2 linked regions of the Neurospora crassa OR74A genome follow. The protein of the gene in region 1 interacts with the protein of each later gene in a biochemical or structural test. Links are inferred from orthologs where the notes say so. Each region holds a gene or a part of one and is shown on either strand. Other genes may lie near its edges.

Region 1 (4,488 bases):
AGGTCCTTGACAACGGCCTCGTACTCCTCGCAGGCGGCAATACCCTCATAGTTGCCATGGGGAACGAGCGAATCGGGATCGGACATGCGGCCGCTGATGGGCTTGTAGATTTCGGTCATTGCCTTTGAGAACTCGATTTGGTGTTGCAGCATGCCATTGATGGCCTCAAAGTACTTTTTGCTTTCATCGTGAAGGCGTTTGGTCTCGGTTTCGAGCTCCTGGAATCTGCGCTCCGAGTCGATGTAGACAGGGTCTTTGGTATGCTCGCCGAGGTTAAACTTTTGCTTGAATTGTTGTGGTGCCTGGTTTCTGTCGTGTTAGTGCCTGTTTGCCAACCCGAGTGATTCGGCGCTATTTCTGCCACAGACGGGGGACTCGACGGGAAGGGCGGAAGTGATGATGACGCTGTAACCGAAACTAGGGGAGGTGAGATCAACTAGGTATGCGGGGCAGAACCTACGCGGACCACGCTTTTTTGGAAGCCCCTGAAGCTCATATTCTGCTACGAAGCCGTATGATGTCTGATGTGTATTCGGTGTTTGTATGGAGATGCGCAAAGCGGGTTGCTGTTCGGAGAGGTTGAAGGCAATCGGTGGTCGAGTGCCCTCTTCAAGTCGGATCCGGATACGATGGTGATGACGCTGGGGGTGGGCAGGGGGGCGGTGCAGGTCGTTTGGCTGGTGGACGAAGTCTTGGCTGAGCGAAGCTTGCGACGGTTTGCGTGGCGCTGCTATTTGCTGAATGTTGGACACGCCGCACACAGCGACCTCGTTCCAAGATGTAGTGTGAAAAGTCTTTTTGTCTAGGCGTCTTGTGATTTCGGTTTGTTCTTGAATCCCGTCGGTCGGACCCTTGTCAGCAGTTCCGTTCGAGGTCCGACAAACTTCCTCGGGGAGGATTCGGTCTTCAACGGTAGGAGGTAAAGTAGCTAGAGGTAGCTGTCCTAGAGGTAAGATGCTACTAAATAGTTTAGCAGTGTAAATGGAATTCAAGTAGGTTGTCGGCGGTTATATGGCATGTCACTGATGGTTCAAGTTATAGTCCAACGCAGACATCCAATGCGAATGGAAACAGAATACTACCGAGGAGGTAAATAGGTACCGTCATCGGTTGTTCTGCTTTTGGTCGATGAGACCCCGGAAAGGAACGAATTGGAACGACGGGGTAGACCGACTGGGTCTGGGGCCCGCTGTAGTGTAGCTTTCATCCCAGTGGACATGCCGATTGAGAGAACAGATGGATGCCTGCCCCGGGTCAGTGCTCTTCCTTTCTGTGCAATGATGGATCAGATGCGTCCGCGGAGTCCGTTTCACAAGTGGACATTCCGCACTGTATTTGTCAAGTCAGTCGCCGCGGTGCACATCGAGCGTTCAGTTTCCGTCATGCCCGGCGGCCCATTCTCTAACATTTTGGAGCAGCGTCATTTTCGCCGTACGTACATACGCGCTTGTCCGATGTCCGAGAAAGAAACAGGTGGGGCCATCCGATGGCAGAATGACCAATCAAAGTGCCAAACCTTGTTGGTTGTCGCCCCTCATTGGCACATTCCTTTATCACCGACCCCTCCGAGGCCAAGTCCGCGTGCGGATGCCGTTTGTTTCGATTTGTTCTTTTCTGTATGGCGGAAATTCCACTCCGACCGCCGAAGAGCGGGAGGCGGCAGCTCCATCTGAATTTCTGAGTGTGTTTTGAGCCGCCCCGCCCGCTGCCTCCATCCGTTTTTGTAGGTTTGGTTACAAAACGAACTTTTTCTCCCTCATCCGCCATCACCCTCACCACCATATTCTCTTTTCCTCTCCTTCTTTCTTCTTCCTTTTACCATGTCCACCATTGCGCCGTCCGTCTTGCGACAGGCATCGCGCTTGGCCGCGGCCGCTCCTCTCCGCAGCGCGCGTGTGCTGTCGCGGGCGACTACTGCGGCTGCTGTCAAGACTGCTTCTGCTTCCAGGAGCTATGTGACCGAGACCAAGAGGAACAACGCCGACGTGCAGGCCGAGCATGCTATCAAGCTGGATCACAGGGAGATGGAGAAGCAGGGCCTCACTATAAGCGCGCAAAATGGCTCGAGCCAACACGTCAGCCCCATGGCTGGTAAGCATCATCATCACCTCCCACCTCTTCGGAGACATATTGCGCAGTCGTCCTCGTTGCTGACTCAACTAGATGTTCTCAGCAATGCTACCGTGATGGATGAGGGACAGCGTCCCATCTACCTGGATATGCAGGCCACAACCCCCATCGACCCCAGAGTGCTCGATGCCATGATGCCCTACTTCACCAACGTCTATGGCAACCCCCACTCGAGGACACATGCCTACGGCTGGGAGACTGACAAGGCCGTTGAAGAGGCGAGGAAACACATTGCTGATCTGATTGGCGCTGACCCCAAGGAAATCATCTTCACCAGCGGTGCCACCGAAAGCAACAACATGAGTATCAAGGGCGTCGCTAGGTTCTTTGGCCGGTCCGGCAAGAAGAAGCACATCATCACCAGCCAGACAGAACACAAGTGTGTCCTCGACAGCTGCAGGCATCTCCAGGACGAGGGTTTCGAAGTGACCTATCTCCCAGTGAAGAGCAGCGGCCTGATCGACATGGCGGAGCTGGAGGCTGCCATCCGTCCCGACACCGCCATCGTCAGTATCATGGCTGTCAACAACGAAATTGGTGTCATCCAACCCCTCGAGGAAATCGGCAAGCTTTGCCGGTCCAAGAAGATCTTCTTCCACACCGACGCTGCCCAGGCTGTTGGCAAGATCCCCGTTGACGTTAACGCCATGAACATTGACTTGATGTCCATCTCCTCCCACAAGATTTACGGCCCCAAGGGCATTGGTGCATGCTACGTCCGTCGTCGGCCAAGAGTCAGACTGGACCCCATTATCAGCGGTGGTGGTCAGGAGAGAGGTCTTCGCAGCGGCACGCTCGCTCCTCCGCTCGTTGTCGGCTTCGGAGAGGCGTGCCGCATCGCCAAGGAAGAAATGCCGGTATGTTACAGTCTCTTTTGTCTTCCTTTGCCCCTTTTATGATGAGTCGCTTTACACATGCATGGCTTTCTGAAGTCCCGTGACAAGGACTCCTTGTTGATAGACAGCAACTTCTCTGATCATGATTCTTCCATATCCCACATTTAATGCATCTCTCGTTCAAGGATGGGCGCTAACTGTTACAACAGTACGACTCCAAGCGCATCAAGCACCTTTCCGACCGTCTTCTCAACGGTCTGCTCTCCATGGAGCACACCAGCCAGAACGGTGATCCCAACCACTTCTACCCCGGCTGCGTGAACGTTTCTTTCGCCTATGTCGAGGGTGAGTCCCTCTTGATGGCCTTGAAGGATATTGCACTTTCTTCTGGCAGTGCTTGCACTTCGGCTTCTCTGGAGCCTAGTTATGTTCTCCGTGCTTTGGGTAACAGTGATGAGAGCGCCCACTCCAGTATCCGTTTCGGTATCGGCCGGTTCACTACCGAGCAGGAGATCGACTACGTGCTCAAGGCCGTAACGGAGCGTGTGGGCTTCCTCCGTGAGCTTTCTCCTCTGTGGGAGCTCGTCCAGGAGGGTATCGACCTGAACACGATCCAGTGGAGTCAGCACTGAGAGGTGACATGATGTGGTTGATGTGCGGTATTTTAACACGGTTTATAAACTGGGCGGAGTTTCTATTGCATTTTTATTTCTCCCGCTGCGCTGCCTTTTCACAAACACTACAGGCCGCTCGGGTTGTTTATACGGCCAACTTTACGAATTGCCGAGGCTCCCGCAAGGACGGAAGCAAGGGGCAAAACATGACCCATTGTATACTATCATGTATGTAAGCGATATTTGCGGATGACCTTTGTTTTGATGAGCAAGAGAATGATACCATAGGGCTGGGAGGCGGCGCTCGGAGGTGTCAGAAGAACAATTCATCATTCATATAATGGATACACATAATTCCCCAGCACTGTGGCTGATAAACGTCTTTTTTTCCATTTGACTTTGGCTGTGTGTAGATCGTGTCCATTTTGTGACTGTTCTGAACCCCCCAACCCGATGGTTCTGCTGAAGAACTCTACAAAGGGCGTGCGTATACAATGTGGCCAGTTACCGAGGTCGAAGGCCAGACAATGAGTGAGTGTGTACATAGTAGTGTACGTTCTCAGAACTAAGGGTCAAGGGTTCCACCTGAAAACCGCCTTGGTGTTGAGGGGCTTAGCTCGGCTCGTTGGTGGCTGCGACGACTTATGATGTCACAGTTTCGTTTGAGATGGTGGGATGAACTGACGAACGAACCCCTATTGGCAGCCTCTCGCCTATGACATCATAGTCTCTGGTGTGCTTTGTGAGACTACAAACGACATCTTCACAGGCACACACTATGGTAAGGCCATCCAATGGACATTGCTGCCACATGCAATGACTAGTAAGTTGCTGGAAGCTACGAACTGGAACAAACAAGAAAGACCATGACTGGACCAATTAGAGCAAAAAGCGGGTTAGACATTTCG
Region 2 (3,287 bases), on another chromosome or scaffold:
TAATCTTGTCCGGTTGCAACCCCTACTTGCTCACGGTACACAATTGCTCCCGCTGATTCTGACCCGCAACCAGGCAAAACGGAGGGTATTCAGAGCTGTAATGCTGCGAGAAGGTGTATGAATACAGTTACGACAAGTTGTTCAACACGTTTCTGGGCTTTCTGGGCTTGCTCCGACTGTTTGAGGCATCCTGGTTGAAGTTGTTTTGCTGGTTAACGCGGAGACCAGAACATGACCTTTGGATCTCGATGGCAGGCTCAGCTAAAGCGAGACCCAAGATGGAGTCCGGGGTTGCATCATCAGTCATGTCAACCCTTCCAGTTCCCGATGTCGATATTCCTTTGGTACAGCGACCCAGCCGTATCAAGCCATTTCTCTGGTGGAAACCATGGAGGTAGACCATTAGAAGCTTTGCTTAAACCCCGACCACCGCGAGGCCGTCATGCAGGCTTCTTGGTGGTTGTCTTCCATCAGGCAGCCCATCTGGTTGAAGCAGAGCCCAACCTGCCCGATATGCGGTTCATCTTGTGATCCCCAAGGACTCCAGCCTCACGAAGACGTCAGGTTTGACACGCGATATGCCGGAAAAGCCGTGTCTCCTTGCCGCGATTTGATGGCCGATCTTGCATGAACTTTATAAAGTGTATTTGATGTCAGAAGCAGTGAATTTCCCACGGCATGACGTGATAATGTTCGAAAACTAACCATTCAACACCCGTCAACTAAGATCTTGGATTCTTCCCGGTGCGCGCGTCCTTGAGTATCAAATCAAGCTGTATCTGGTCGGGCATCCCTCGCGGTGGGCAGGGTGCCTCCAGAAGACAACTGGCTCAGGCAAGCGATCCGGCTATGCCTTTGCCGGTCAGCGTACAGGAGGGCTCTCCTTATATAAGGGCCTCCGGTCATTCGCTGAATCCTGAGAACTTCGTCTTGATGAAAGAACTCAACGCCCGTATCCTTTCCGATCTCTAGGGCTCCGAGAGATAGCTGAGCGGTTGTGAGGATAACCGAAGATGAACAGTCCGATGCTGGTTGCTCGACTGCTCGGTTATGAGAGCCCGTGACGAAGCTGTAGAATTTTTTATTTTTTTTCTTCCATTTTTTTTTTTTTTTGGTGACACGATGGAAACACTTGGAACTGAGTTTATTCGGGGTGCTTTGATTGAGAAAAAGAGGCATTGTGCTCGGCGTGTTCAGTATGCTTCTTGCTGTGGCTATTTGATTGAGTGCAAGGAGGCATTTGAAACCGGAAAGAACAATTCGAATATGCAGTGGCGCAAGACTCGGGGCCGAACAGTCATTATAAAAATTGTAACGGGAACCATGAATTGGGAAATGGCAGTGATGGACAAAGGTCCGGAAGCGGAAGGGTTAGTGAACGAGAAGTGACTGAACGGGCGAGAGGAAGGAAGAGGACGTTGTAAGCCATCATATGCCACAGACATGAATGAATACATTTATCAAGATGCTGAGTACCCGTAGATCTCGGTCATGCTTACGCATAGTGTATGTACATATCCGAGCCACCCACCCAGTACTCGCGCCAAGGTCGCCGAACCACATCTGAAATGCGGACGTCCGAGCTTTCGCCGTACGCTGACGAAGGCAAACGCATCATCACGACTGATCGACGAGCCATATTCGCCGGCGCCTTGACTTCTACAGCACCTTTTTCCTACCACACTCACGAGTTTCTCCACGAGGCACGAGCATACCAAATCGTACGCACCAAGCAGCACAGAGGCCAAAAGAGGGAAACGGGAAAGGAAGTTGATCGATATGTCTACCGTCGCAAGGACTGGCGAGTCAGCCGGCAAAGTTCTGTCGCTGGTATGTAGCATGCCTTTCTGCGCACTTCTTTCCCTGGATCGTAAACGGTATTTGGGCTAGAACAACGCAAACGCTAACATCGTTGCTTTGAACCAACAGTATCGTCAGCTTTTGCGCCAGGGAAATCAGTTTTCCTCTTACAACTTCAGAGAATACGCCAAGCGCCGCACAAGAGACGCTTTCAGGGAAAACAAGAACGTGGAGGATCCTAGACAGGTGCAGGAACTTGTGCAGAAAGGGTTACAGAATCTTCAGATGCTCAAGGTATGCCGGGCACTCGAGCTGAGACGCGACTTGGAGAATACAGAGAAGTTGACATTGGAATAGCGCCAAACAGTCATTAGCCAGTTTTACCAACAGGACCGCTTGGTCGTTGAGGGCGGGCTCTCGGTAAGTCTTCCTGAACCGTTCCGTGGAGTAGATCAGAGGTGATCTAACAAGTCGCAGGGTAAGGACAAAGAAGGAGGTAAGCTCAGGCAGAAGGATACTGGGTAAGTTATAATCTTGAGAAGCAGATTTGAGAAGAGCTGTCTTGCTAACGAACTGAACCTCAGCTGGGACTAAATGGCTGCAGACGAAAATCCCTGTTTAGTAGTCGCTTTGCACGAATGACACGGGAAGAAAAGGCTATGTTTAATACTATGAGTGAAGGGTTGGCGAAGAGTACACCTGTTCGAGGTTGCAGGAATGATGACGGGATACCAATACCAGCTTTGATTTAGCAGGCCAACAAGTCCAAAGGTGGTGGTCGACGGGGCTTCTCTGATAGCAGAGGATAATTAACTTAAATCAGTTACCATATCAAATTCCAGTGATTCGGCACAATTATGAACGGTCCCTTGGGTATAGATTATGTCTTGGTTGTGTCGTGCCATGATAACCGGCTTTCCGGATCACCGTCAGAACCTGCGAATCCTTGTCGCAACTAGATCGACTCGTTCCTTGCATATCCGAGATCGGTTTGGCAGTGGGGGCTGCCTTAAGAAGGTAAATTGCTTTACCGAGAATTCATGTCCCATTGGCATGGTCAGTGCGACCAGTGCGCGCGACCACTGACTGACCACTGCAGGACGAGCCACTGCAGTCAATCGAAGGCTGTCGGAGAGTGTCAGGTTGGCCGCCGCGACTTGAATGCGACGCGCAACATCCCGCACCTTGTCGACTTCCATCCTTCCATTGACAACATTCTTAGCTGGCGGCATAGGATCGATTTCTTGTGGAAGCTACCTCTGCATCAGTACGGGTTCCCCTTACTCTTCTCTTTCTCTATCACATACCTACCTACCTATAGTTTGCACCATATCGTTACGTAGTCCGGCATCTAGTCGCTTTCAGCCGATCCATCGTTATTGTTCATCATCATCCATCCTTCTATTCAGGTTCCAACACAGTACAGCGGCAGAACAAGCAGCACTTAGAAGCAGTCCCTGGACCGCTGACCTGCACTCACCCACCGA

Evidence for each region.
Region 2: the proteins of NCU04636 (region 1) and NCU02007 form a complex in vitro, tested with the Saccharomyces cerevisiae proteins (3 studies listed by BioGRID). The link is inferred for Neurospora crassa OR74A from reciprocal best matches to the Saccharomyces cerevisiae genes NFS1 and ISD11.

The regions. Positions count from the first base shown.
Region 1 is NC_026505.1:1,377,128-1,381,615, forward strand, and holds NCU04636 (cysteine desulfurase), read left to right. Parts: upstream 1-1,609; 5' UTR 1,610-1,820; coding exon 1,821-2,091; intron 2,092-2,163; coding exon 2,164-2,987; intron 2,988-3,175; coding exon 3,176-3,598; 3' UTR 3,599-3,960; downstream 3,961-4,488. Other genes in the region: NCU04637 (BAR adaptor protein RVS167), read right to left, coding at 1-302, 461-496. UniProt on the Saccharomyces cerevisiae protein: Catalyzes the removal of elemental sulfur from cysteine to produce alanine. It supplies the inorganic sulfur for iron-sulfur (Fe-S) clusters. Plays a role in both tRNA-processing and mitochondrial metabolism.
Region 2 is NC_026501.1:1,696,211-1,699,497, forward strand, and holds NCU02007 (iron-sulfur cluster biosynthesis protein Isd11), read left to right. Parts: upstream 1-1,573; 5' UTR 1,574-1,779; coding exon 1,780-1,830; intron 1,831-1,929; coding exon 1,930-2,094; intron 2,095-2,157; coding exon 2,158-2,220; intron 2,221-2,277; coding exon 2,278-2,321; intron 2,322-2,384; coding exon 2,385-2,394; 3' UTR 2,395-2,652; downstream 2,653-3,287. Other genes in the region: NCU02008 (hypothetical protein), read left to right, coding at 232-394, 728-972.